2 linked regions of the Canis lupus familiaris genome follow. Each later gene encodes a partner of the first gene's protein in a complex. Links are inferred from orthologs where the notes say so. Each region holds a gene or a part of one and is shown on either strand. Other genes may lie near its edges. The genes, in order: PHF2 and VRK1.

What was found.
Region 2: the proteins of PHF2 (region 1) and VRK1 are in contact, whole or in part, in a crystal structure (PDB 8F8Y), measured with the Homo sapiens proteins. The link is inferred for Canis lupus familiaris from reciprocal best matches to the Homo sapiens genes PHF2 and VRK1. Residues at the interface, in NP_005383.3 of Homo sapiens: Tyr7, Tyr14, Val16, Thr17, Arg18, Phe19, Met20, Ile21, Glu22, Trp29, Glu39, Ala42, Ile45, Asp46, Tyr48, Lys64, Tyr145, Ser147, Glu150, Lys175, Val178, Asp179, Tyr182, Ser183, Thr184; in NP_003375.1 of Homo sapiens: Pro2, Arg3, Val4, Lys5, Ala6, Ala7, Gln8.

What each region holds. Positions count from the first base shown.
Region 1 is NC_049222.1:98,904,785-98,919,411, reverse strand, and holds the end of PHF2 (lysine-specific demethylase PHF2), read left to right. Parts: intron 1-47; coding exon 48-208; intron 209-3,695; coding exon 3,696-3,970; intron 3,971-5,220; coding exon 5,221-5,316; intron 5,317-5,700; coding exon 5,701-5,810; intron 5,811-6,029; coding exon 6,030-6,453; intron 6,454-6,859; coding exon 6,860-6,948; 3' UTR 6,949-8,760; downstream 8,761-14,627. UniProt on the Homo sapiens protein: Lysine demethylase that demethylates both histones and non-histone proteins. Enzymatically inactive by itself, and becomes active following phosphorylation by PKA: forms a complex with ARID5B and mediates demethylation of methylated ARID5B.
Region 2 is NC_049229.1:65,854,663-65,869,289, forward strand, and holds part of VRK1 (serine/threonine-protein kinase VRK1), read left to right. Parts: intron 1-2,251; coding exon 2,252-2,360; intron 2,361-2,478; coding exon 2,479-2,571; intron 2,572-4,853; coding exon 4,854-4,986; intron 4,987-5,740; coding exon 5,741-5,861; intron 5,862-6,151; coding exon 6,152-6,210; intron 6,211-10,308; coding exon 10,309-10,487; intron 10,488-14,627. UniProt on the Homo sapiens protein: Serine/threonine kinase involved in the regulation of key cellular processes including the cell cycle, nuclear condensation, transcription regulation, and DNA damage response.

The sequences.
Region 1 (14,627 bases):
AGCAGGTCCCCTAAAGCCTCTGACCTGTGGCCCTGTCCCCACAATAGAGCGACGACTCCTCTGACGAGGGCTCACTGCACATTGACACAGACACCAAGCCTGCCCGCAACGCCAAAGTGAAGAAGGAGGGTGCGGGCTCGGCGGCGGGCATCCTGGACCTCCTGCAGGCCAGCGAGGAGGTGGGAGCCCTTGAGTACAACCCCAACAGGTAGGTCCAGGGTGCCTGCAGAGAGGCCGTGGGGTGCGGGTACCCCTGGGGAGGAGCCCAGGCCACGCCAACGTGGGGCCATTTGTGCCCTCACCGCAGAGGCAGGGCAGCCAGAGCAGGACCCGTGCCCCACAGAGGGGCTGCCTAGTGGCCAGGGAGGTGAGTAGGGGGCCGCACCCCACCCACCACAGTCCTGGACACTCAGCTCCAGCCGTGACGTCTGGCTGGCTCCATCTGGACGCTACCCAGATGCTCTGAAGGTCATGTAGTAAATTTTCCATGGCGCAAACCCAGCCTCCTGGTCAAGGGCATGTGGTATCTTTGAGCCCTGGGGCTGCAGAGACCTCACCCCGCAGGGATGGAGACCATGGCCTCAGAGCTTGGGGATGGAAGAGCTGTGGCCCGAGGAGGGTTCCCAGGGCCACACCCCGTGGGGCACGGGGGCCACACCAGACTGTCCTGAAGCCCCGTGTGCACCCCGACATGCCTTCGTGTGGCTGCGGCCGTGAAGGCCCGGGGTGGCCTGGCCTCTGATGGGAGATGAACCAGCTAACCCCTCTAGGCTTCGTTGGATGAAGGGCCCGGGCTCATTTTTCTGGACATGGTCCCAGTTGAATTCTCTCTCCATCTGCTTAAACTGGGTTAAGTGTTGTGTTCATTTTTTCCCCACATGGGATTTCCACAAGTAGCACAAACAGCTCACCAAGGGGTTGGGGCTCCCCGCCGCCTTGGGGGACCAGAGCCCCACCTGCCTGTTGATGGACCCGGGTGTGGGGTCCCAGGGGTCTGCATGTGCTGGGCATCGATGTCCAGGCAGGGGGACCTGCCGGGGAAGGGCAGCCTGTGCGGCCTGCAAGGGGCCTGCACGGGGCTCCCCTACATCTGCCTCTGAGGTGAGGCCATGTTTCCAGAACCCAGGTCCCAGGGCCGCGTGAACCCGCAGGGAGGCTGCTCCCGGTGGGTGTAGACACCCAAAGCCAAGGAGGTGGAGTCGAATGGCTGAGTCTCCTCTCAGGACTCTGTTCTGGGTGCCATGTTCCCTTCAGATGGCCAGAGGCCTGCATCTCCTGCCCGCCAGGAGGGACTTCTGTAGAGGTGCCCCAAGGGCCCCTCACCCACAGATGCCCTGTGGCCTCTGCCGTGGTGGGACGGGGCCTGAGGCCCCTTTGCTGGGACAAGCCTGGCTGTGACCCCGGTTCACTGAGGGCAGGGCACTGCTGCTGGTGCTGGCCCCTGGGGGCACCATTACCCTGGTGCTGCCTGAAGGTCAAGATGCTGGAGAGCAGGGTCTCTGCACGGGGGACACCGGGACCCCGGCCCGGGAGGAGGGCGGCCTGTGTGCAGTGCTACGCTCACTACCTGCAGACACTCACATGTGCCCTCACACCACCCGCACGTGCACATGCATGCCTGCCAGGCCCACCCCCTCTCCCCGCTGCAGGCGGTTCCTCTCCCCAATCTCCCGATTGGAGAGCAGGTCAGTTTTTGATGGTCCATTTGCTCTGTTTTAAGTTTTCGCTGCTGGGAAAAAAAAAGCTGAAAAAAATGGAGGGAAATATGTTAATTTGTTGTGGATGGTTGGCAGTGCGCACCGCAGGGGTAGGGGAATGTTGGAATGATAATTGGAGGATTAAGAGATTATTTTCCATGTGAGCTAGGTAGACTGTGCTCCTTGATTCACTGGCCGTGTGTGGACAGACGTGTGGCCCCTGCTGCCTGCGGCCCTGGGCTCTCAGGCCTGCCCCTTGGAGCAACCAAACTGGGCAGGGACCCCATGGTGGTGGTGGGGTCCTGTGCAGTGTGTGCCCTGGCCCCAGCCCTCCCTGCCCTGGCTGAGGGGCCGTGTGGACACCCCAGAGCCTGGAGTCACAGGGGGTGGGGAGCCCACTGCTGTTCCCCTGTGGGCAGAGGTCTGTCCTGTTCAGAGACCCCCAGTGACCGTGCTGCACAGCGCCCTTGTGCTCCAGGGCAGATCCTCGCAGTGGGGCTGGGGAGGCTGCATCCGTGGCAGGGAGTTCCTGCCTCTGCCGGGGGTGGGGGTTGCTGCCCGGACTGGACCTTTTCATTGTTTTGGCCTTGGGTCTGCAGTCCTGTTTGGCCCCAGCAGAAACCAGAGCGCTGTGGTCCTGTGTCAGGGCGGGAGCTGGGGCGGTGCCCGGGCCTGGAGCCAGCAGTGACCAGCAGGACGGTTCTGTCCACGCTGGCCTCCCTGGGCCCTGGGTGCTCCCTGGGGGCCAGCTCCACCCCCAACCTCCAGCCCGAGGCCTGGGAAGCTCTCATTTCCGCGTGGGGACTCATGGTCCCTTTTCAGGTTAAGGGTTCTACTACATGTGCTCCAAAACACTTTGGGGGGAGGGGAGGGGGGAAGGGTGTAGGGGAGGGTGTGAAAGCCGCTGATGCAGGATGATGCTGAACCTCTGACAGGGCTTGCTTGGACTGACACTTTGGCTGCTGCTTTGGGGTTGCAAGACCCCGTAGTGGGCCCTGCCCCTGGGGCACCTGGGCAGGCAGGAGGGGGCCTGGACGTCCGATATCAGGAGAGGACCCTGCTCCCTGGGCCTTCTGGTCTGTGAGGAGAGGAGGGCTGTGGGGCCCCAGCAGCCAGGCACGGGGTGGGAGCCTGTGCCTGGCTGCTGGGGCCCAGGGGCTGGAGGGAGGGTCAGTTCAGTAGGGCCCTGCAGCCCAGGGTGGGCTGTCCTGCCCCCCATGACAGGGTCCACAGGGATGAGGAGGATGAAGCTTCTAGAGGAGCCCAGACCTGTGCTTTGTGAGCTCTCCCCATCCAGCCATGTCCAGGACCCTGGTGATGCAGGGAGAGGCCCTGTGCCCCGCCCAGAGCCCAGCAGAAAGCACAGTGCCAGGCACAGCCTCATGGGGTGTCTCAGGAGCCAGAGAGCAAGTCCTGGAGGGAGGGGAGCTGGAGCTTTAGGGACTGCGGGTGCAGGGTTAGGGCAGTGGGAGGCAGCCTTGGGAAAGCACAGCACCCATGGGGGTGGCTGAGGACCTGGGGCTGAGCTGACATGTGGCCCTCTGGTAGAAAACAAGATGGAAGGGGCAGCTGCGATCAGACGCATGGGCACTCCCTGTCTGCCCCTCCCTGTGTCCCTGCTCCACGCCTTCTCTGTCCCTGCAGGGTGTGAGGGCAGACACCTGGCTGTTCCTTTTTTTTTTTTTTTTTTTAAAAAAAAAGATTTTATTTATTTATACATGAGAGACCCAGAGAGAGGCAGACACAGGCAGAGGGAGAAGCAGGCTCCCTGCGGGGAGCCCGCTGTGGGACTCGATCCTGGGTCTCCAGGATCACATCCTGGGCTGAAGGCAGACACTCAACTGCTGAGCCACCCAGGCACCCTGAGGGCCCCTCTCCTAAGCAGGAGTCATGAGCAACCACTGTGCTCCAGCCGTGTGTCCTCGCCGCTGAGTGGGAGGGAGCAGGGGCGGTGGGCGCTGGGCACTGAGCTGAGTGCCTGTCTCTCTGTGCCCCCAGCCAGCCCCCGGCCTCCCCCAGCACACAGGAAGCCATTCAGGGAATGCTGTCCATGGCCAACCTGCAGGCCTCTGACTCCTGCCTGCAGACCACATGGGGTGCCGGCCAGACCAAGGGCAGCTCATTGGCGGCCCACGGGGCCCGGAAGAACGGGGGTGGCAGCAAGAGCGCGGGCAAGCGGCTGCTGAAGAGGGCGGCCAAGAACAGCATGGACCTGGACGACTACGAGGAGGAGCAGGACCACCTGGACGCCTGCTTCAAGGACTCGGATTACGGTGAGCCCCAGGGGCGGGCAGGGCCTGTCCGCGGTGCTGGCCATGTGGGGCCGGGCCTCCTCCAGGACACGGGAGGCAGCCTTCGGAAGGTGTCCCCAGGGGAGGGGTGCCACTATCGCCACCCAGGAGGAATGCCCCTGGCCCCACCACAGAGCCCCCGTGCGTGTGCGCCATGTGTGGTACACGCTGTCCTCATGGGCTCTCCAGGGCGCGTGCCCACAGCCCCGAGCCTGTGCTGGGCTCACCCCCCACCTCCCCCGGCTGCTCCCATCCCAGTCGCCTGGCGGCCTCCACCTATCACCTCTGTGGATGCTGCGCTGTGGACGCAGGTGCGGGGGCTTTGTGAGGCCAGGTGTGGGGTGTCCCGGGCTTGGACCTGGGAGGTGGTGTTCTGGGTGGAGGGCAGATGCCCTGCCCTGGCCCAGCCACCCCACGGCCATACGCTTGCACACTGCTTGAGACCCCATCCACTTGGTCGGTCTCGGTGTGGAAAATGACACTGAGGCCCAGAGCGGCTGCCTTGGAGGTGGGCAGAGTGGGGGGGTCCCCAGGGCTGACCCCTCACCACTGACCACAGCCTTTCAGACCCTGCCCTTGGGGCTCCCAGCAGTTCGGTGGGGGCTGCTGCCGGTCTTGGGGAGGGTCTCAGGAACGAGGACCTGCCTGCACACTATGGCCTGCCCCCAGGGGTGGTTAGGGCCCAGGGGTGCTGGCTCTGGTGGTGCAGGGGCTGCCTTGGAGCTCACGCTCCTGCCCCCAGAAGAGCCCTCTCCGAGTGGAGGTTGGCCCTGGACCTTCTGCTCCACTCCCGGGGTCCTGGCTGGGAGTTGGCTGGGGGTGCCACTGGGGGGGTGGCTGGGGGCCAGTAGGGGCCTAGCTGGGCGGGTAGCTGGGGACCCACCCCAGTCTGATAGGCTGTTGGCAGTGAGCTCCCTTGGGGGGCAGGGCAGGCCCTGGAGGTGGCAAGACACCCCTATAGTGGGGGCACCTGGGGTCACCAGGGCTATCAGGTGGGGCTTGCTTCCCAGGGACCCGCTGGGTGGGCTCCAGGGATGCTGGGTGTTTCCCTCTCTGCAGCCACAGAGCAGGGGACCTGCTAGGAGGCCCTGTGGCCAGGCCCGATGGTTTGGGGGCCGCCTATGCCGTGCATGGGGCAGCCGTTCTGGGGGGGACAGCAGCTCACCAGACCTGCCCACAGAAGCTTTGTCCCCCGCGGCGTCGCTGGCTCAGGTCCTCCCCCCACCCCGTAGTTTATCCCTCTCTGGAGTCGGATGAGGACAGTCCCGTCTTCAAGTCCCGGTCCAAGAGGAGGAAAGGCTCTGACGACGCTCCCTACAGCCCCACAGGTAGTGTGTGGAACTGGGCGCCCCCTGCCCGTCCCTCTGGCTTCAAGGCTGTGGCCGGGGGTGGGGGTGGGGGCCTGCAGGGGCCTCAGTGGGGCTGCACTCCTCCTGTGAGTGGGCTAGGTGGGTGGGGGTCCCCATGGGGTCTGAGAGAGCACCCCTGGGAAGGCCATGACTGCACCTGGCAGGGTCATGGCAGCCATGGGGGTGGGGGGCTTGTCACCATCTGCATGACCCCACCTGCTTGCTCCTGTCTTGCTGGCATGGGCCCTTCACATCGGGGCTCATGTTGTGATCTTGGACAGACGGGGGCCGGGTCATGGGGCCTGGGAGGGCATGCAGATGATGGGGGGACACCGCTCGAGCAGGTGTCCTTCTCTCCCACAGCAAGGGTTGGGCCATCGGTGCCGAGGCAGGACAGGCCTGTGCGCGAGGGCACCAGGGTGGCCTCCATCGAGACTGGGCTGGCAGCTGCTGCAGCCAAGCTGTCCCAGCAGGTGAGGAGGGAGCCTACCTCTGCTCCCAGGGGAGGCCAGGGGCTGTCACGGGCTTGGGGTCACTGGAGCAGTGCTGACCCCTGGGGGGTGTTGGGGAGGCGGGAACTGGCCACTCAGGGTTGGGTAATGGGGGGTGATGGGGCAGGGGACTCATCCCCTCGCTCAGGAGGCCTGAGGGGCCACTCAGCGTCTGAGGCCGCCCATGTGCTGTGTCCAAAGGAGGAGCAGAAGAGCAGAAAGAAAAAGAACACCAAGAGGAAGCTGGCTCCCAACACGCCCTCCCCCTCCGCCTCCACCACCTCTGCCAGCACCACGTCTGCCAGCACCACGTCTGCCAGCACCACGTCCGCCTCCACCACCTCGGCCTCCACCACCTCGGCCTCTACCACCTCGGCCTCCACCACCCCGGCCTCCACCACCCCGGCCTCTACCAGCACAGCCAGTAGCCAGGCCTCCCAGGAGGGCAGCTCACCTGAGCCCCCGCCTGAGGCACATAGCAGCAGCCTGGCGGACCACGAATACACGGCGGCTGGAGCCTTTGCAGGGGCGCAGGCTGGCCGAGCCTCCCAGCCCATGGCCCCCGGGGTCTTCCTCACGCAGAGGCGGCCCTCCGCATCATCCCCCAACAACACCGCTGCCAAAGGTACCGTGCCTGCATTCCCCAGGCCGCCCACGGCTATACCGTGGGGACGGCAGGTTCCTTGTGCAGCTTGGCCATGTGTCCACAGCCACCCCTCGGCCCTTTGGACAGGAAGCTGTGGTCACACATGGGCCGGGCGGGTCTGGTGGCCTGGGCTTCAGGGCCTGGCCAGGAGGAGGTGTGGTCAGTGCCAGGCTGAAGGCTCCTGGGAGGGCCCGAGGGGATCCGTTGGGGGCAGGACTGCTGTGAGGTCCTTGGTCCCCACCGTCCCTTGGGCCCCACCTGTCTCCACCCTGTGCCTCACCCCTGTAGCAGTGCTCCCCGCCCTTGTCACCGTGCCCCAAGGGTGGGACCCCGGCCTCCCCTGACCTCTGCTCACCTGGCACATTTCCATCTCCTCTGCCTGCAGGAAAACGTACAAAGAAGGGCATGGCCACCGCCAAGCAGAGGCTTGGGAAAATTTTGAAAATTCATCGGAATGGAAAACTGCTCCTTTAAAGTTTGGAAAGCCAGGATCCTTCTGCTCCGCTCAGGACCCCCGGAGCCCCGCTAGGACATCAGCCCCCAGGAGGGCGGCTGCGCTGCCTCACCCTGGGGAGGGCCTGGCCCTCCCGGCCACCACTCCCCCCATATGAGCATCTGTTGCTTCAGCCGGCAGAGCGCACCGACGCGGACGGACGTCCTTTCTCAAGTTGCTTAGAGTGACCAGTTCCCGAAACTCGGCCCTGCCTGTTTGAGGACCATTCCAGTTCCAGGAGAGCCTCTGGGCCCCCCTGAGTGTGGGTGTGATCACAGGGCTTCTGCAGCTCTGTTGGGAACATGAGTCCTTCGAGGAAGGAGGAGTGAGCCAGTGCTCACCAGGCCCAGAGTCCGAGCTGGCCACAGGCCGGTAGGCTCCAGAGGCTTAAAAAAGGAAAGAACACTAGAGAGGAAGAGGAGGAGAGAGTGGGGTCTTCTGTGCCCCCCTGCTCTTCCTGAGTGATTCTCAGACAGTCCAGAGAGTGTGCGGCCCGGCCGGGAGAGGGGCCTCTGTGCTCCCCGGTGGCGGGTGGCGGGCCGGATGTTGGGTGTCGTGCCCTGAATGGCTGGGGCCTTTCTTGGGACGCCGGGGCCGTGAGCAGGGTCAGTGTGTTGGTGGGGAGGGGGCGCCGTCACGGGGTTCCCCCTCTCCCCCCAGGCAGGGTCGGGCCCAGCTGTGATGTGGGGCCTGGGGGCCTGGGCCAAGCCGTGGGGGGGGCCCCGTGCTGCCCCCCCGGCTACACTCCTAGAAGCACTTCTCAGCCGAGGCACCCCGCCTGGCGGGGCGGATGGCGGCGGGCAGCCCGAGGACGCGGGGCCCAGCACGTCTGTCTTGTCACCTGTGTGTTTGGTGTCGAGTCCCCAGGTGGACCCCGGACTGAACGTCCGCCCGTCGACATGGAGGGGGCTGGAGTTGTTTCTCAGGCAATCCTGTATTTTAATTTTAGATGTATCTCCTGAAGCATATTTTTCATAGAATGTAGCGTGTAAATAGCTTTTTAAATAACTTCTTTTTTATAAGAGTAAAAGTATCTTTAGGAATTTCTTTCTAGAGAGTCCGTCATTAACATTTATACGAGTTTTTTGCCGAGTATGACGAACACTTGGGTTTGCCTTCCTTCTTTCTGTTTGTTGTTCCTGTTGGTGTTACTTTTTTCTTTTAGGAACTAAGGTATTGCCTGAAAAACAAGTGGTGTCTGCGGAGCCTTCTCTGTGTGTTTGCAGCAGCAAACCGCGCCCCAGACCCGTTCCACGCGGCGGGCGCGGGGTCTCCGACCCGGACACCAGCTCTTTCTTTCCGTCTCGTTGGCGAAGGGGGTGGGGATGCAGTTATTTTACTTAGCACCTTGTGAAGTGTTTCTGTGTTTTGTGATGCTGTAATTTATTAATGTTTGTAGCTTTTTATATTTGTACATTTCTTATGAGCTTTGTTTATACGCCTGTCCCCGGGCGCCGTGTCCATGAGGCCGGCCCCGAGGCTGGCGGACGAGCTCGCAGGGCGCCCACGGCGCCCACCGTGCCGTCCCGGCGTCTGCGAGGCTCCTTTCCCATCCTCGTTGAACATTTATATAATCTAACCCGGCCATCAAGCTGTTCTCTCTCTCTCTCTCTTTTATTTTTTAAAGTTTATTATTATTATTTGGCAACATGTACATTTCTAACAAAGTTTACCGTGGCTATTAAAGTGTTTTATTTCCCAATTCATATTACTCTTGTATCGAGTCCATGAGGTCTAAGGCAGCTTAGATCAAAGTTTTAAAAGAGTAAAAATATTTCAGGTTTTGTACAGAACCATGTCTGTGTCGTTCCTGCTCACTCGCCAGCGTCTGCTCCCGCGGTGGGGGTGGTGGGAGGGGGCACCGAGGGCCCGGCCCACGTGCTGCCCTGCACCCCAGAGCCGCCGTGCCCCACGCCGCCTGCAGGAACGGCCCGAAGAGCCCGTGGGGGCCGGCGGCCTGTGGGACCCCGGCTCCGTGACCGCGGCCCCGGGCAGCCTCGGGAGCCTCCAGAAGCACCTACTGCCCACGGTGCGTACCTAGCGGAGGCCGGTGAGTGCAGGCCAGGCACCCAGAGATGCTCCGCGGCTGTGCAGGATCTGTCTACGCCCCTGCAGTCGGGACGTGGGGCCGGAGAGGACGGAGGGTTCGGGCACCCGGGAGGGACCCGCTGGGCATCCCTGCTGCCGGCCGGGCCTGTCATACTGAGGCTGGTCCACAGGGGCCGATGGGCTTGGTCTGGGCATGGGGCTCCAGCTAGCAGAGCTGCCTGTCCATGCACCAAGGCTCCAGACGCAGGCCGCCCCGCTGAGAGCGTCTGTGGGTGGGCAGTGTATTCAGACGGTGTGTGGGTGGCAGTTCATCATGTGCCATTTGTGACAAAGCACAGCAAGGTCCCTCCATCCTGCTGGGCAGCCAGCGTGGCCATCTGTGCCCCACGCGGCTGAGCGCCTCCAGGACCTCCCTGAGCTGGAGGGTTGGGGTGGGGCTCCAGGTACCCACTCTCCTGAATGGAAAGTGCTGCCCCCCCGTGGTGCCCTGTGTCCACGTGGGGCGGCCCCTCTGTTGGGCATCTCAGGCGTTGCTGCCCTTGGAGGTAGCACCGTCCCAGAGCCCCCAACAGCCCACGTCCCCCCGACTGGGCACTCTCCCTGCTTGCTGCTGTCTTATCCCTGCCCAGCTCCAGACAGATTCTGCTCCATGGCTCCGGGGGTGGGGGGGGGGGCGGGTGACCACGCTGTCACCTCACAGCCATCAGGTGCCCTGTTCTGCAGGCCCCTCTCCGGATGCCCACCAAACCCAGACTGGCCTGCCCTGAGCCCGCACCCTGGAGGCTGGGCCGTCTGGGTGCTCCTGGTACCCCTGCCTTCGTGTGGCTGTCAGGACTGGACCTTTAGAGCTTGTCTGGGGGCAGGGGGCTGAGGTCAGGGCTGGGGAGAGGCTCCCAGAGGCTACCCAGCATCCCCTGAGCCCTAAGCCCCAACGCAGGATCCCTGGGCCGTGCCCTGTGCCCCCATGGGGCCCCGCAGCCTGTGCAAGGTGTCCCAACAGGGTCCCTGGCTGGGCGTGTCTGAGCTGTGGCCCTGGGTGCACCCCGCAGGGGTGGAAGGGCCAGGTGCTGTGGATTTTCTGGGGTCTCCCCCTCCGGGCAGGGCAGGCTGTGCGGTCCGTTCATACCCAGGGCCCGGGTCCAGGTCACCACGCTTCCTTCCCACCGCCTCCACCGCCGGCCTCTGGGCTTTCAGACGTCCCCACGGGCACGAGTCCCACAAGCATGAGCTCCAGGCCCAAGGCCCCTGCCCCCGCGCCGGGCTCCCAAGGCAGTTGCAGCAGGTGCGGGTCAGCTGCTGAGGCTGACCGCCTCCAGATGGGGAGGCCCAGCACCCACTCCCAGGCTCCTGACCCCAGGCCCTAACTCCCCACCTCCCCATCCTGTGGGCCTGCAGAGCCCGAGGAGGGTGGCCCTAGGGGCGGCTGGAGCCATCGTCACCACCACAGGGCCCACGCCGCGCTCCAGCCCGGCCTTCCCAAGTCCAGCGGGATTCCATGGTCACCCACAGCTGCTACGTGCTGGGCCAGGCAGTGCTCAGAACCTTCTGGAGCCATCATCCAGCGCACTTCCCCAAAGAGGTCGCGGAGCTCAGGAGAGACCGCTGCCTGGCCTGGAGGAGGACGAGGTCTGGCCAGCGTCTGCGTGCACACCCAGGTAAGGGGGCTTCCCACGGGGAGACCGGAACGTCTTTAGCAACGTGAGCAAAGGCCCCGAGGCAGGCGGCGTCCCTCCAGGGCTCCCGTACCCCCTGGGGCTCGCCTCCCTCGGGAGCCCCTCGCTGCACCCCCTCCCTGGGAGCCTCCACCCCGCCCTGTGCCCAGCACTGTGGGCCCCTGGGCCCCCTCCAGGCTGGGGACCAGCCGGCAAGGGTCCCACTGGGCGCCTTGGGGAAATGTCAAGAGTGACCACCAGGGGGCAGGGCAGGGCCGGGAACCAACCGTCGAGGCATCGGAGTGGGAGCCAGTGGTGTGGGGGCTGTGGAGGTGGGGGTGTGGCGCCGGGGCTCAACTCTGGAAGGAGCGAGGGGTCGGTCGTCCTGACCTAGGTGAGCGCCTGGGGGGGGGAGGGGGGGGTCTGTTCCTACACCAACCAGGTCCTGGCAGCTTCACGCTCGCCACTGTCCTCGAAGGTCCTAGGACTGTCTGTATCTTAACCAGGGAGAAACTGAGGCATGCAGCCTCACAGCTGGTGGAGCTGGGGTTCAAGTGCAGGTAGGACAGTTCTCGGTCCCCAGGAGGCAAGAGCAGATGGAAGGTGGCTGCCGTGCAAAGGCCCTGAGGTGGGGATGGCTGGAGCAGGGGGCTGAATTCCAGGCAGCAGGGCCAGGTCACACTGTGGCACCGGCAGCTGTGTGAAGGGCGCAGGTGCCGTCCCCTCACCTGGTTTCGCCGCCCCCCCCCCATGAGGGTCTTTAGCTCTGCAGGCTACACAGAGACCTGCCCTCCACCCAGCCCTGCCCACCCCACCTCTGCACAGCCGAGCAAGAGGCTCTCTTTGCAGAGAGGGACACTGAGGCAGATCGTTTGGGGGGGGGTCTCTGCCCTCTTTGGGTAGAGAAGAAGGACTGTCAAGGGGGCTCCCCATCCAGGGTTTTAGAAAGGCTGCTACCCGCTAGTTCCCAGTCCTGGAAAGCAAGTCCCCTGCACAGTAATTCCCACGGTCGCAGAGGCACAACGTTCTGTCAAACACTAGGTGGCCAGTGTGACTGCATTTCCAGAGTGCCTACTGTGTGCGAGGCCGAGTGCTCGAGCTTTCCTGCGGCTGGTCCCTTACCGCTGCGCCTCCGCCTTGGCCTGTGCGGGAGGGGCAGCTTGGGCCCTGGGCTGGAGGCCTCTCGGAGGAGACAGTCTTTGAGCAGAGGGCCTGATGTAAGTGTTGGGGTTGCAAAAAGGCCTGTGCAAAGGCCCTGGGGCAGGAGTGAGCTTCCCAAGGAATAGTGGGGCACAGGGAGGGTGGAGAGCTCAGCAGGGCCAAGGTTCTGGCAAGGTCATGTCCCCTACCGGCCCTACGAGTCAGGAGGGGTGGGCACCCCTCGCCTGGCCGCCTGGCGGTGGGACCTCAGGAAGGCCTCCACCCCCTCTCTCACCCAGGGGCCGCCGGCTGTGTGATCTCCAGCAGTCACTTCCTGTCTCTGGGCCTCTTGTTCGGTCTGCTGACCGCGAGTGGAGGGACAGAGGAGAGGCGCCAGCTGGGATGCGTGGGAGTGTGTCCCCCTGGCCCACCCGCTGTCCTCTCGGCCACGCCCGCAGGGGGTCGGGTCACCGCAGGAGGTGGCCGAGGGGCCTGGGCCCGCTGGGAGCACTTTGCAGTCTCCTCCCTCCTGGAGAGCATGGGCGTGGGGTGCCTCCCCGCCGGTGGACAGGGGGCCTGGGCGGGGCAGCGGCTGTCGGGCAGCCTGACAGATGACCTCCCTCCTCAGCCGCCGACCGCCTTTCCCAGGCCGAGTCCCGCCGGCCGCCTCATCCAAACATCCCCGGGGATGCCACCTCGGCAGAAAAATGACGCTGTTCCATTAACATCTGACACGGATTTGCAGGCCCCAAACAGACGAGCACGCATGTAAACAGCCGGCCTGGCTGGGCCCCCGCCCGGCCCGCTCACGGCGGGATCCTCATAATTGATTGTCCACCCGCTGGCCCCCAGCCTCCCCCCAGCTCCAGCCAGTGTTATTTCAAGATCGCAATCCCCCCTCCCCCCGCAAACCGCATTTCCCAAACAGCGGATGTGCCTGCTTGGAGGAAAGAGGGGAAGGAGGCTCCTGGTTCTGTGGGCCTCAACTTCCTCCCTGTGGAATGGACCCTCCTCAGGGTGTCCCATGGCCACATCCACACAGCTGCTGGAGCCTCTGCTCCTCTGCCCTTTGGGTCCTAGGGAGGCTTCTCACCTGTCCTCCTGCACCCCTACACTGGGTTGGCTCAGATCAGAGCACCTGCTGGCTCCCTGAGCCCTCCCTGGGACCCCCACACACACTCTTGGGCCCCCCCCCCAGCATCCCCGGGACCCCTGCCCCTGGGACCCCCCACCAGCTCCCCTCAGCACCCCGGGCCCCCTACACTGGCCCTGCCCTGTCATTTCCCTCTTCTAGATCCCCACATTTAGCCTTGTTCACCGTGTCCTCTGGTGGGCTGTCCAGCTCTCTCACCCTCTGTGGCTCCCTGCTAACTGCCTCCATCCTCTCAGGGCGTCGGTCCCAGCCCATGTCCCTCAGAAGACAGTCCCCAGCCTCACCCTTTGCTGGGTGCTAGGGCTCAGGGCAGGCAGTTTGGGAGAGCCAGGTGGGCTGAGAGACCAGGGACCCAGGGGGAGGCGGAGGTAGGAAGGGGGGAGGTTGCAAGAAAGGGAGGAGGTTGTGAGGAAGGGGGCTCCAGACCAAGGAGCTCATGGTGTGGGGGGCGGGGCAGGGGTGTGCAGGCAGACAGGGGAGGGAGTGGAGGGGGCTGTGGAGCCCTGCCCTGCAGGGTGGATTAAGACAGAGATGGGGGGGGCCCTTCTGGGGCCGGGGGTTATCGCTGCTTCCTCCTGTGAGGCCTAGGTGATTCATGGCTGGAGGGCTGGAGGGCAGGCTGTCAGGGAGAGATGCCAGCCACTCCTGTAAAGGGTTGGGCTGGCCTGTCCCGGTGGCCCAGGGGCCCTGGATGGAAAAGCACAAGGCCCCAGGCCCTACCCTTTGTCCCTGCACCCATTCCAGACTAGTGCTCTCAGTTCTTTGCACTGCTGCTGGGGAGCTCATGCCCTCCTGGATGCTTGGCTCACACCCCAAACCCAGCTGGTCTCAAAGAGCAGGAACCTGTTTTCCTCGGTAGCTCTGAGGGCCCTGAGCTCTGGGGCTTAGGACATGGGCCTGGCCCAAGAGAAGTGAGCAAGTACCTCTGTTCCCCTTCTCTGTCCCCCTGCGGACCAGTATGTGATGGAGAAATGACACAAGTGACTCAGTGACCTATCTAAATCATGGCGCAGGCTATTGGGAGGCAGATCATGCCTCACTGGAAAGTCTTGTGGGATTCCAGGCAATGGGGCTATTGCATTTGAGCAGGGGCAGATGTCTGTGTTGGAAGGTGTTTCTGGAAGCAGAAATGGGGAACAGGCAGTCAGGGCCGAGAGGAGGCAGAGGTACCTGGATGAAGGTAGGTGGCCATACGGCCTGAGCTGGAGACAAAATTATGTTTATCAGGAGACTATGGTGGATTAGAGGGCTGCATGGCTCATCCAAGAAGCTTTCAGAAATGGCTTGCTAAAATAAATGGGAACAACTGAGAAATAGACCTCCCACCCCCAGACCAGAGCCATCCAGTGGAATTATTTGCAAAGATAGAAATGTTGGTATAATTCACGTGAGCATTTGAAATGTGGCTACTGTGACTAACTTCTGAATTCTTTTTTTTTTTAAATTAAGATTTATGTATTTGAAGGAGGGAAGGGGCAGAGGGCGAGAATCTCAAGCGGGATCCCTGCTAAGCACGGAGCCTGATGTGGGACTCCATCCCACAACACCGAGATCATGACCTGAGCCAAAATCACTAGTTGGACACTTAATTGACTGAGCCACCCAGGTGCCCCAAGTTTGAAATTCTTAACTTTACTTCTTCTGACTGCTTTAATCTTCAACTTAA
Region 2 (14,627 bases), on another chromosome or scaffold:
TGTGACTAAGTAAGTTACTCCTTTTGCCTTGATTTCCTTGTTTGTGAAATTGAATAACAGCTACCCACTTAATAAGGAGGATGAAACAAAAGCTATTAGAATATATGTAAAATATTGTGTTAACTTTTACTTTCAAGGGGATTTTAATCCCTTAAATGTTCAGAACTACTGATTTAGAAAACCATTGGAGAGCAGGATAGCATCTCAGGTGGGAGAGTAATATGAATGCAGGGCCAGGGTAGGATTTTGGCCTGTTGTGTGGCACTCAGCATCACTCTTTCACCAGGAACAGGGTGTGCATTTGGAAGGGAGAAGGGGCCTGAGGCTGGTAATGGAGACTGGGGTGAGGAGAGGAGAGCGGTGTGGAAGCATGGAAATCTTCACCACCTTCTTTTGTAAGAATGCTTCTCCCACTGAATAGTAAAATGAAAGTTATTTCTAGGTAATTCCTCCAAGGGAAAGCCATCAATGTCTACTTTCCTGGGGACTTAGATAAAATGGCACAAATGATGGGAAAATCAGTTGATGTGTATAATTTGAAACAGACGATTAGGGGATTATTTACAGTAGTGGTGGAGTGGTCTATGAATAAAAACAAAGATGTACTCAGTGTGATGTATTAATAGATCTCATGTTGAATTAAGCAATTGTGTTTTAGCCCTCTTTTAGACTGTTAGCAGAGGTTGTATTTTCGTTACCCCTGTATTATATTATACTAATTACATCACTTATCATAAAAACAAATGTGTATTTGTGTCCTTTTGTCCTCCCTCCAAAATCAAGTTGTACAAATGAAATCAGGAAGTCAGAATTATTGTTCCTTCTTTATGATGATAGAGATCATGGTGTACTGGAAAATCTTGCACGAATGAATGCATTTTGCTCTAATTATATGACTTTGGACAAAGCATTTTATGTGTATACACATTAATTTATTTATTAAAAGATGTTTAGATAAGAGGATCTCTCATTCCCTTCCACTTCAAAAATGAATAGAATCCTGATTTTTTATTTGTCATGTTATCTTTTAATGTTAGCTTTCCTTCCCTGTTGAACTTGTCATATGGTATTTGTTGTAGGCTTCACAGATAAAAATAAGTGGGATTTTTTGTGTACCACTGACGTTTATTTATTTGGATATGTGAAAAAGAATGACACCATCACTTCCTGGAAGGCAAATTACCAATCATCAGTTTTCTTCTGCTGTAAAATGGGGTGAATAGGAGCCTCTACCTCATGAGGGTGATGTGAGGTTGACATGCACTAATACATGTGAAGTAGACCAAGGCTTCAGTGAGTGATAGGTGTGGTTATGATGATCATCATTAATCTTATCCTCATTGGAAGATACATTGTGAGTGTGGTATTGGTTTTTACGATTTTTCAGAGTGATTTAACCAGGCAAATCAGAATCTGGAAAACTTGGTAAAGATAAAAGTGATCCTTAGAGCATAAGGTGAACTGTGTTACTGGACTGAGGTGTTGCTGTTTGGGCACACACAGAAGTGTCACGGTTGTCGAGGGTTAGAATTCAAGTGCCAGAAAAGACCTCCGTAGACATGAGGCCCCACGCTCTCATTTGACACCCGGGGGAATCAGGGCTCAAAGAAGTGATGTGAGTCAGCCAAGGTGACCTAGTGGGTTTGTGGCAAAATCAAAAATCTGCACATTTCCCCAGGATATTTGTTCTTCCCTAACTCTTGTCCTTTGAGTATTTAACATACAGCCCTTTTATACCATTTAAACAATTTCATTGAATTTAGCTATTATTATAGCATCTTTGGTATCTTGATTTTAATAAAATGTTAATACTGCTAAAATGTGCCCCCAAAATAGAGAAAAACGGTCACAGACAACAAGCTAATATCCAGAAACATGAATTGACTTTGGCGGGAAGAAAATCCGTGATACTGGTCTTACTCATATTGTCTTATCTTTCCTGTGAATGAATCAGCTGGAGTCAGTCTGTGGGCTAATTACCTTATATTGATGGGTGTCTCAGGAAACTACCTGGCTGCCACCAGGAGAAGGCCCTCAGGCAGGACAGGGAAGTATTCCCAACTCTGAGATTTCTAGTTGGAAAAAATGGTTTCAAATGTTTGTCTTTCTTTCCTCCTTTCTTCTTTCTTCCCTTTTCCTTCTGCTTTCTTACTAAACATGGACTTGAAAAAAATGACTGTGAGAGTAGTCCCTGCAAAGTAGGTTACCCGAGTTCTGTTTTGTTTCATTGACTTTTCTTGTTTGTCTTTAGTTACAGGTTTATGATAATGGATCGCTTTGGGAGTGACCTTCAGAAAATATATGAAGCAAATGCCAGAAGGTTTTCTCGGAAAACTGTCTTGCAGCTAAGCTTGAGAATTGTATGTGAGCTACATTCCTCTTGTTTTAATCCAGTGAAGGCGAGTTGCGTTGAAGCTCGGTCCTCTGCTGGCTGGTGTTAGGTACTGCATTAATTTATTCTATATGGTGCTTTCATAGCTGGATATTCTGGAATATATTCACGAGCATGAGTACGTACACGGAGATATCAAGGCCTCAAATCTGCTCCTGAGCTACAAGAATCCTGACCAGGTAGCATTGTTAAGTTTAATTTCTACTAGTTAAAAGCTGTTGTTTGAAAACAAATATGGTTGCTTTGAACTTTTGAACCTGTGCAGAAGTTTTACTTTTTGGAGTCGATATGGTAATAATAATATTTCTTCTTGACACTTTTATCTAGTTAACATTCTACATTTTTGATGCGATTTGTTGGCACTTTATCAAGTTGGCTATTTTGCCCTAAATAATATTCAGAAGAAGTGCTTGTGATACAAAATGAATTTCAAATAGCTATTTGGGGGTGGAAGTTTAAAATTATATAGTGCACCGATGAATTATGTTTGCCTGTCTGCTTTGTCATTTTTTTATTTCCTTTGTTCAAGAAATCCATCAAATGTAAGTGTTCTATTACTTGGAAAATTTGGTCTTTAACATGTTGATTATTCAAATCAATTGGTTTACAGAAATATCTTAGCTGTCTAAATTTGTATACCCTTAGTGTTTAGAATTCAAATGTGCATTTTTTTTTTAGTTTATTACATTCACTTTGTAATTTTTACTTTTTAAGGAAAAGAGAAAAGCTAATGTTATTATATCTCTATTTGGATCAGTTTAGTCAGAATAGAAGGGTTTATACAATGTTCTTGAAGCTGTACCACAATTTTGGTTAAAGTAAGGTTTGACGTAGGCACTCCTGGTAGGGCCACTGAAGGAAATCAGTTCCATATGTGTTCTTGCATCTTATTGATGGTGTGTAAGAAGGGACTGTCTAGGTATTTGAAGTGTGTTTATGTTGACACTCCACTTTATTCTTTTTCTCAAACCAATCTTTGACTTCCTCTTGCTTAGTTTCCACTTGTCCCTTCACCTTCCCTTTATTGTCCATCTGACATTGTCCCCCCAGCCCCATCTCTGTCACAGTGGCTGTCAGGGGTCTTTCCGTGCACAACAAAGGAAAGTTGTTATATTTGTAGAATGCTCATGGGGAAGTCTTAAAGGCACTCGCAGGATTCCCAGACATCTTGTGTTAGATGTTTTTAAAAAGGTTAAAAGCAAGCAAGCAAACAAACAACATAGCTGAGGATTCCATTAAGCATAAGGATTCCATTAATTGAGGCGAACTGTACTTGTACAATGTAATAAATAAAAATACCATTGATTTCAGTTTGCAATTAACCAAAATATGCTGCCTTTTGTTTATAGGAAAATATTTTTGCATCTCTGTTATCCTTCGGGCATATGCTTTGGATGGGATTATTTTTCTAGTGTTAGATGTGTGTGTTAGATCTGTCCCTATATTTTTACTTCAGTTTCCTCTTGTGATCACATGCATACATTTGTGAGACAGTTACCCAGAATTAGAGATGTGATACATGGCTATGGATTAGAAGAAAGCCAAATTTACTAGCTTTTATGCTCATCAAACCCACACATACATGCCCACAGATATGTGCTTTGTAGTATTAAAATTTAGTTTTAATTATGAAGCTTTATTATATAATATTTAAATTATGTATTATATAATATATCTCATATATTATAGATAAAAGTCATCTAAAGGTTCTTCAGATCATTATTGTAATCTGAACTACTTTTATGAAATGAATTGATAATTAGAATATTTTGTAAGTGAAGGAGCAGAGGAATAGAAGATAATGTATCATGTATCATCTACACCAGTAGTCTTATATTTGGTGTGGGGCAGTTGTAACAAATATTGATGGTTTCCTCTCTGCCCAATTATTCTGTTTTAGACCCTGCAAGAAAAAGTGCAAGATTTATAATCTTTGCTCAAGTTAGCAGACAGGATTAATTACAAGTATAACATGCTTATTTTAAAAAGTATATAAAGTCAGGTGATAGTGTCTGGAGTTTAGTGACATGATCACTCAACATTTTTCTTGAAATAAGTCTTTCAGAATTGGGGCACCGTGGTGGCGAAGTCCATTAAATGTTCTGACTCCTGGTTTTGGCTCAGGTCATGATCTTAGGGTTGTGAGATCAAGTCCTGTGTTGCACTGTGCACTCAGCATGGAGTCTGCTTGAGACTCTCTCCCTCTACCCCTCCCTACCTGTGTACACACATGCTCTCTCTCTCTAAAAATAAATAAATAAATCTTTAAAAACAAAAAAAAGTCTTTCAGAATTCAGTATTTGCTGTTGTTAGCATATTGGATCTCACTTGTTGGGGGGTACAGTGGTGTGGCCTTGCAGATGAATCCACCTTTAAATGAAGTATTTTATCTCTGGGCCATAAAGGATTATATGTGCAATCATTTTGGCTTTGATTTTACCTTGTGCTTGGACATTTATAGGTGTACTTGGTAGATTACGGCCTTGCTTACCGGTATTGCCCAGAAGGAATTCATAAAGAATATAAGGAAGATCCCAAAAGATGTCATGATGGCACAATTGAATTCACCAGCATTGATGCGCACAATGGTGTGGGTATGTCAGATTCCTCCCTGGTTCTTAATCTTGTACAAATAAACAAGCTGATAAATAAATAAGAATTGCAGAGGCAAGGTAAGGCCAGGGAGGGATCCGGGGAAGAGGTTAGACTCTTCCAGCCCTGTAATCTGCCACCTTGTCTTTCCCTGTGGTCCCCTTCTGTCCTTCACAGACGCCATGGTTTGAGCAGGGAAGGTGGTTTGGTTCAGCTCAGGATTTCTTTTTGGTTCTCTTTAGCTTAGTTGAATGTGGGGTGTTATTCCCCCTAAAAGTCTATAAGTTTCTTAGGCAGCCATGACTTGGCGGCAGGCAAACTGACTTTCTTACCTGTGAAATCATCCTGCTTTCTTTAGCAGGCATTTTGCTTTTCTGGGGCCCGTACAGTATAGAGGAGCTGAGACCCCCAGTTCTCTGGGCCTCTCCGTAGCTCATAGCATTTTAGTGTCTTCAGGTTTTCCAAGAGCAATATTAAATGTGTCTCCACTTTATAGTTTATTTCCTACACTCATAGTCTTAGTTTGAAACTCTAGAGTTTGCCAATTTGGATTTTAAAGTAAGCTGTTAGTTGGATGTAAATGACTTCTTTCGTATTGCCAAGTATTTATTCAGTACTTTTATTAAATGCAATGATAAGTTTTGATGAAAAACAAGACTGTAAGATTGGCTGTTTTACTTTATTGGTTTGTATATATTTGAAACTATACCTGAAAGTGATTTTAGTATCCTTATCCTGCTTCTTTTGTATTCACAGCCCCATCAAGACGTGGTGATTTGGAAATACTTGGTTATTGCATGATCCAGTGGCTTAGTGGTCATCTTCCATGGGAAGATAATTTGAAAGATCCTAACTATGTTAGAGATTCCAAAATGAGGTAAAGGAAAACTTAAATTATCTTGGGCAAAATCATGATAAGATAAATGTGTATGTCAGAATTTCTTGAAGAGACTATAGTTTTAATGGCTACTGATGTAGAAATAAGAAAGTACTTGCTAAATAGGAGGAGTCCTTGGTTCTGTCTTCTGTTTATTTTAGAAGAAAGCCTGTAAGCATATTTAGGATGTAACGCAGTGCTGCTTATTGTGCTATTTACTGTCATTAAATATTAATAAGTTTCCATGGTATAAAGCTTCAAACAATGACTCATTCTTTAATTTTTAACAGATATAGAGAGAATATTGCTGGTTTGATGGACAAATGTTTTCCTGAGAGAAACAAGCCAGGTAGGAAAAGACTTCTTAAATGTTCATAAGGTTTTCGTTTTCTGGGAGAAAAAGATTAAGAATCATGATGTGCACAGCATATCCCGTAAAGTAAGAGCTTAGGTATTTTCAAGTGTGATTGTTGTATAGAGGCCTGTTCTCATCATGACAGCAGACCCCTTTCCAAAGGTGGACTAAATGGGGATTTGAGCTTCCTTAAGTTATTGTTCAACTTTCAGGAAAGGAAACCAAATTTCATTCATAAATTCAACTTTTTTTTTTTTTTTTTTTTTTTTTTTTATTGAGGCTTGATTGAATGCCAGGAACTGTTCTAGATACTAGAGTTACAACAGTAAACTAAATAAAGAGAAATTTTTGTCTTCATGAAGCTCATGTTGTAGTTGGGAGAGACACACAGTAAACACAGGAGTGATTTTATAGTATATTCTGTGGTTAGTACTATGGAAAAAAAGAAAGTGGGGAATAGAATTAGTGAGTGTGGGGATGAGGTAGGGAGTACAGTCAGGGGGAGTTGGAATTTTAAATAGGGTGGCCAGGGGGATCCCTGGGTGGTGCAGCGGTTTAGCGCCTGCCTTTGTCCCAGGGCGCGATCCTGGAGACCCGGGATCGAATCCCACGTCGGGCTCCCGGTGCATGGAGCCTGTTTCTCCCTCTGCCTGTGTCTCTGCCTCTCTCTCTCTCACTGTGTGCCTATCATAAATAAATAAAAATTAAAAAAAAAAATTGGGTGGCCAGGATGGCCTTATTGAGAAGGGTGACATTTGAGCAGTTGGAGATAGGGATTGAGCTCTGTGCAAGTCTGGGGAACAGTGTGTCTGGTGAACTAGAGGACTGCGTTGTTTTAGGCCATCCATTATAAGGGCTTTGGCTTTTACTTTGAGCAGGAGTGTAAAGTTTGGAGTAGACGAGTGACATCAATGTGTATTTTTAAGGGAACTCTCTAGCTCCTGTTCTGAGAATAAACTGCTAAGGGAGGAAGGCAAGTATGAGCAGGAGCCGGCTAGGAGGGCCACCACAGAGATCCAGGGAAGGGAGGTAGCAGTGGGAGGAGTGAGAAGTGGTTACTTCACACATATTTAGATGTCTTTTCAAGCCCTTGCTCATTTGTCTCCTTTTTAGGGTAGTCCACTCTGACCTTATGCAGTTTAAAATTGCAGTCTTACCAAGTACCATATGAGAAATGGAACGCTATAGGCTTTTCAGAGTCCCCCCTTGTGCCTCCTACGAATCATGAGCCTTTCCCTCTAGGCTAATGAATAACTTGCCTGACTTCCAACCCCTAAGATTTGTTTTTGAGCTCTATAAAAAATGGAATCATAGAGTGTGAACAACGTAGATAAAAATCCCTGCCCTCATGATCTTGACTGCTAGCTCTGTTGGAGTCCTGTTTCTTTTACTCAGTATTGTATTTGTGAAATGCATTTCCATTGTTGCATGGGGTTTTTTCTTAATGTTTTTACTTATTTATTTTTTAACTTTATTGACAAATACAATTGTATACATTTAAAGTGTACAATGTGGTGATTTGATATATGTTTATATCATAGAATGATTAACAAGATCAAGATAATTAACACTTCTATTACCTCACAGTTAACTTTGTGGTGTATGTGTGTGTGTGTGTGTGTGTGGTGAGGATGCTTAAGATCTACGCTCAGCCACTCTCCAGTCTGTAGTACCAGATTATTAACTATAGTCCCCATGCTGTGCATTTGATCCTCATGGGACCCCATTGTTGCATGTTTAACAGTGATGTGTTCATTCTCATCTCTAATAGTAGTCTGTTGTATTTATATCCTATTACTTAACTATTCTGCTGTTGATGGTTTCCAATTTTTGGCAATTATAGATCCCCTGTTACAGATATAGATGTTTAGTCCACCTAGCATTGATTATTGTGCCTTATATAAGGAGGGGCCAGATTTTTTCCCACCCCCATATTTATAAACAGTTGACCGAGTAGCTTTTCTTGAAGAAAACACTTCTTGTCTATGGTGCTACCTTTGTCTTAAATCAAGTGTGGATCTGTGGATCTGTTTCTGAACTCCTTCTTTCTGTTATTCTTTTTGTCTGTTCTTGCGCCACAGTGTCATAATGATTCTGACTGAGTCTTGACATCTGGTAGTATAAGTCCTTCAGCACTGATGCTCCTTAACTTGACTTTGGTCTTCTGCAATTCTTGACCCTTTGAGTATCTGTGTACATTTTAGAGCCACCTTGTCAGTTCCACACACATCCCCTCCCTTTCCAGTTTGCTGGAATTTTGAGTGGGATTGCCATGACTCTAGATCAGCTGACATCCTTGTACTAGTGAGTCTTCCAATCTACTAATAAAGTATATCCTCCACTTCATTTCTTTCACTGTGTTTTATAATTTTGTCTGTAAAAAGTCTTGCCTGTCTTCATCGTATTTGTTGCTAAGTATTTGATGTTTTTTTGATGCCATTGTAAATGATCTGTTTTTAAATTTTATTTTAAGATTTTTTTTTATTTTAAAGAGAGAGAGCATGTGTGTGTGTGTGTGTGTGTGTGTGTGTGTGTATGTGTGTGAGAGCAGGAGGAGGACGGGCGGAGGGTGGGGGAAGCAGACTCCCTGCTGAGTACAGAGCCCATTGAGGGGCTCGTTCTCACGACCCTGAGATCATGACTCCTGCTGAACCAAGAGTCAGAGGCTTAACTGACTGAGCCACTCAGCTGCCCCAGTGATCTATTTTTTAAGAAATTTATTTTCCAATTGCTTGTTGCTGATACATAGAAAATGATTTTTTAAATATTTACCTTGTATTCTGTAACCTGGTAAATTTACCTATTAGTCCCATTAGTTTTTTTTATAGATTCCTTAGGGTTTTCTGCATACAGTGCTGTGTTTGTGGATAAACTGTTTCACTCTCTTTGCCTTCTCTTTCTTTTCTTGCTTTACGGTACTGACTAAAAGCGTAGATGACTATTACACTGAACAGAAGTGGTGAATGTGGACATGCTTCACATTTTACCCCCTCCGAAGGAAGGTTTTCCATATGTGACCTTATTAGGTGAAGTTTGCTTTAGATTTTCCATAGATCCTCTATAGATTAAGAAAATGAAGGGAGGGATTTCCATTTCTTTTTTCCTCACATATCCCAAGTACCTAGAATTGTGCCTGTCGCATGGTAAGTGCTAGTCAGTGTTTGAATGAGGGTGTGTGTGTGTGTGTGTGTGTGTGTGTGTAGTGCTCTCAGGATCTCTTGGTTTATGGCATGTGGGGTGTGGGAAGAGTTTTTGGCTTGAGCTGGAAGGATGGAATTCTCAGTAACTGGGGTGGGAGGAACTGCAGGAGAGCAGGTGGAGGGATAGGTCAGGAGTTTGGATTTGGATTTGTTGGGATTCAAGAGGATAGTTGGAGATCCAAGAGGAGTGGGCACACAGGTTCCTGGGGGCCAGTGGACGGATGAGGCTGGGGATGTAGGAGTCGTTAGCTTAACGATGGATTTCTGGCCTTGAGGAGTGTCTATCTTGACTAGTAAGATTTCTTTTTAGGGGATTGGTCCTGCCTCAGTGTACAGTGAGCCTTTCATCATTCAGAAGCTGATTTTCCTCTTTTATGGGAAAAGTAGGTCTTGCTTCTTTCTCCCTTCAACTTGGCTTTGGTATGTTTTATTTCCCATTTTCACAAAGAATGCAGCTATTTTCTATAGAATTAATGGCTTCTGTGGCAAAAAAAAAAAAAAAAAATACGGCTGTGATCGTCCTTGTACTTAAGTACCTTTTACTTTATAATCTGTTTGAGGTCCTTTCCTGTTTTGTTTTTGTAGCCTTAAAACTACAGCAGTTATTTCGTGCATGTTTAAATTTTAATATGTGTCTCATCTTTTGTCCCTTAGAATTACAAAAATGTCTTTTACATTCTATCTCAAAATAAGTTTCTTATTTCACTTATCTGACAGCTCCCGACTTCAAAAGCGTACTTTCTATTGAAGAAGTGATTTATGTAAAAAACATATTTTAACAGGATACACATTTGCATTCTAATTTTACTGTGAGTTATTTTCTTAGAAGTAAGAGATAAATCTGTTGTATTTGTGATTAAAAAATTACAGAACAATTATGTTACTCTTTTAGATGAAATTGCTAAATACATGGAAACAGTGAAATTACTGGGCTATGCTGAGAAACCTCTCTATCAGAACTTGCGAGACACTCTTTTGCAAGGACTAAAAGCTATAGGAAGCAAGGATGATGGCAAGCTGGACCTCAGCCCCGTGGAGAATGGAGGCTTGAGAGCAAAGTCAATGACGAAGGTGAATTTTGATCCTAAGTTATCCTTTGGCCTCCTATGATGATAATTGCCGCAAACTAATTTTAGAGAAATAAATCAGTAAAGAAAAATGTAACAGATTGCTTGGCAATTAAATATCTATCACCATTAGGTAAAGGCACAAAAACATGTAGGGGGTTGTAGAAGAATGAATAAGTATCAGTTTCTTATGTGCAGTAGCAAGTTAGTAAATTCCTGGAAAGATTGTCACTTGGGATACTGACCACTGACAGGGGGATTGGGATGGGGCATGCGATTTAGAGTGTGGGTGTTTTTTTCTCCCAGGCCACTGAGTGCGGTTGGTCTTCTCTCTTAGCTTTTCCTCCTTTGTTGATGTGGTCAAAGCATTTACCGTTTGAAAATCAGTGTTTGAAAATGACTATTTGAAAATTAGTGTTCGAAAGTTTCTTTGTTTGCTGGTGTGGGGTGCTTACCATTTGACCATTAGTTTGCTCTTTATAGAAATGTCATTATGTAAAGCTATGTATCTGCATAGAAAGAGGTTCACTTATCGGACAGCTATGTTAACAGTGAACATTGTGGGCAAAGTATTGTGCAGGCATGTAAATAACTTCTTGGTATGACTTTAAAATTAACTTATTGGATATTTTTAATTAAATTACTAACTCAGATTTCCTTTATAGTCTGAAATTATTGAATAAAATGTGCTACCTGCATTTAAATCAAAAAGAAGAACTACTCTTAGAAAAAAAATATTTTTTTACAATACTACTTTTCCTGTTACTGACTCTGTAAATTCCAGTAGATTCCTTTGGAAATCTCCAAACTATGAGAAAAAGGGTTTAAAAGCAAATTTTCTCTTCTTAAAATAAGAAGCAGCATTATTAAAAGGTTTTTATAATTCTTTTTAACTTTATAAGTTAATGTTATAAAGGAGATGGGAATTTTGAAATTGTATCTTGAATTTGACTTTTTTTTGGCAGTTAGGTCTCTGTGTAGTTTCGCTCCAAATCTGAAATTATGCACATGCACCTACATCTAAATTTTTTTCTTTTGTAAGTTTTGTCTTAATTGCATCGCTCCATTTTTGTGGTCAACAAGTGTGCTGAAAGCCATGTCCAGTTTTGAAATGAAGAGGATAAAATGGCAGCTCGAGTGGGATTTTTCAGTAAGGTAGTAAACTTATAGTTTGCATGTATGTGTAAACATACAGCTTGCACCTTTCTGCTCAGGACAGGTTTCTGTGCATTAATATTCATAGATAGCTTCTGTGGTGTTTTCCTCTAAAATTTTGCTGATTGAGAAATAAAGATCTCTGTTGCAGTGAGAACATGTCCAGTGCCATACCCTCTTACTTTTCAGATCACTGTTATTTGGACTTACATGCTGGAGAAAATTTGGTTTCTGCAGCTTGGCTGACTTTATAGCTGAATAGGTCAGTCTGCTGCAGAGCTAACATCTGTGAACTTAAAATTCTCATGTGTCCTTGGGTAGTTCAGAAGGCTGGAAATTTCCTGCTGGATCATCCCCTACATGTATAAAGCTTCATTTAGAGGAGGAAAAAAATGACTAACAACTGAACTATTAGATTGCTTCATTAGTTTACTGCTTTTTTTGCCCCTACCCTCATAGCTGACCCAGGCCTATTCTTTGTATTAAAAAGAAGTTAATAAAAGTTCAGATTAGGTAAGATCCTGAAGCTGCTTGATGGCCGTGTAACTGTAGATGAGTTGTTAATTTTAGGTGGCCTTTTGTCTTGTTTTTGTAACCTGAACAAGTTGGACCAGACCAGTTTTCTTTTTTAAGTTTTTTTTTTTTTTTTTAAAGCCCAGAACATTTTCTTCAAATACATTGTAAATACTCCACATTTAAGGCAGATAATAGCAGAGCTCCACCAACTGAAAAGTTAGGGACTCTGTCTCTACAAGGGAAAACTTTCCCTTTGATAAATTAGTATTCCATCTTTTTTTTTTAATTTTTTAATTTTTTTTTATTTATGATAGTCACAGAGAGAGAGAGAGAGAGAGGCAGAGACACAGGCAGAGGGAGAAGCAGGCTCCATGCACCAGGAGCACGTTGTGGGATTCGATCCCGGGTCTCCAGGATCGTGCCTTGGGCCAAAGGCAGGCGCCAAACCGCTGCGCCACCCAGGGATCCCTCCATCTCTTTTTTAGCAAGGGGTGTATAATCAAGATGTCGTTTTTTGCTCTGGTTACTAGGAAGCTCAGAGTTAATTATGCTTAATCATAGAAATTATGCTAATCCTTATAATTAGTATGTATTCTCCTTTCCCTTTGTCATAATTTCTTAAAACTTTTAAGTATGTACTCTTTGTATTTACGACACTCAAATCTCTTTTGGAAAGGGATAATAGTTTTAATTCAATATACATATTTCTTTTTATGTTCCTGAGAGTTGTCCATGATGGTAAGAACATATAAAAATTGGTTAGCAGTGGAATGAAACAAGGTTTCTATCCATTTTTAAATAGCCATGCTTGATTATGGTACAGTAAATTTGGAAACTAGAGTGAAATATGAATTTTCCCACTTGAAAATGTTTTCAGCCTCAGTAGCCTAAGAGTTTTATTTAAAGCACAGGATTTGGGGATAATATAAAGCTGAAGTAGAAAAAAACTAGGTATCAGTCTACCTTTAGGAAGTTCACAGCCAGAGATTTTCATTGTTGATCAGAACTGAACACTTGCCTTAGAATCGGGCAGTACAGTTCCAGCACTGGATTCAGTGTGTACTCTTAAACCAACATTCAACAATATAAAGGTCTAATTTATGTACCTGGTCTAGGCTGGGTCCCCGGGGCTATAAAGATCAATAGCACGTAGTTCCATCCTTAAAGAATTCCTCCCTGTCCGATCTGGGTTAAGAACAGCTTAATTTACTGGAAAGAACTCAGCAAGTTAAAAGGACATTAATACCTCCATTAGCTATTTTCTTGTAAGGTTTTGATTAAGTTACTTGCCCAAGCCAACAAAAGGGGCTGTTCATTAGAATTTCTCAAGTCTCATCCCTGGAGATTCATTGAGTAGGTCTAGAGTGTGGCCCTGCGATTTGCATTTTTCTCAACAGTATATACTGTTGTTTCCTGTGAATGACGTGCACATACCCTTTTCTCTACTCCCACATTTTTTAGTTCTTTTAAGTTGTATTATGCTAGTTCCCTTCCTAGAGTTTCTCTGAAAAATGATTAACCATTAAATAAATCCCTGCTGGTACTCACCCTGAAACATAGTACAAGGAGACAAGAGTAGAGGCCCTCCATTGCCCACCAGTGGTCTGCAGCTGCTCTGGTGGACAGCTTCCTGTCTCGAGGTGACTGCCCCCAAGGCAGCTTATAGTTCTAGTCAGATAGCCCCAGATACACCCTCTGAACTTGGCGAAAGTCTGTCTAGCTGGGTTTAGCATGCTAGAATAATAGAAACTGTCTTTTCCTTTATATAAGTTTAGATGGTTGAAGTCAGTACATTTCTTTCCTAGAATAATAGAAACTGTCTTTTCCTTTATATAAGTTTAGATGGTTGAAGTCAGTACATTTCTTTCTGTTTTTTTTTTTTTAATTTTTATTTATTTATGATAGTCACAGAGAGAGAGAGAGAGAGGCAGAGACATAGGCAGAGGGAGAAGCAGGCTCCATGTACAGGGAGCCCGACGTGGGATTCGATCCCGGGTCTCCAGGATCGCGCCCGGGGCCAAAGGCAGGCGCTAAACTGCTGAGCCACCCAGGGATCCCTTCTTTCTGTTTTCTGATGAGGATTTAGTCGTAGTTTTCTATGTAAGTGGATTCATTGTTTACTAATGATTCTCTTCTTTAGATTTTTGCTTGAGCTCTGTATTTTAAATCTCATATTATTTGGCTGGATTTTGCCAGGTAGCTTTTTTCCCCTATATTTTTAAGTGAGATTATGACATATGTACAGAAAAATACACAAGTGAATGTGGAATTCAAAGTTTACAAAGTGAACATACACATTTAAACATCCCCCATATCAAGGTATGGATTATCACTTGAACCCAGGAAACCTTTATCAGGCCCCCTCCAGCCATTATCCCTTCATTAACAGTAACCAGTGTTTTGACTTTGACACCATAGATTAGTTGCCATTTAAAGAAAATTAATAGCACCTTACAATATATTCTTCTTATAC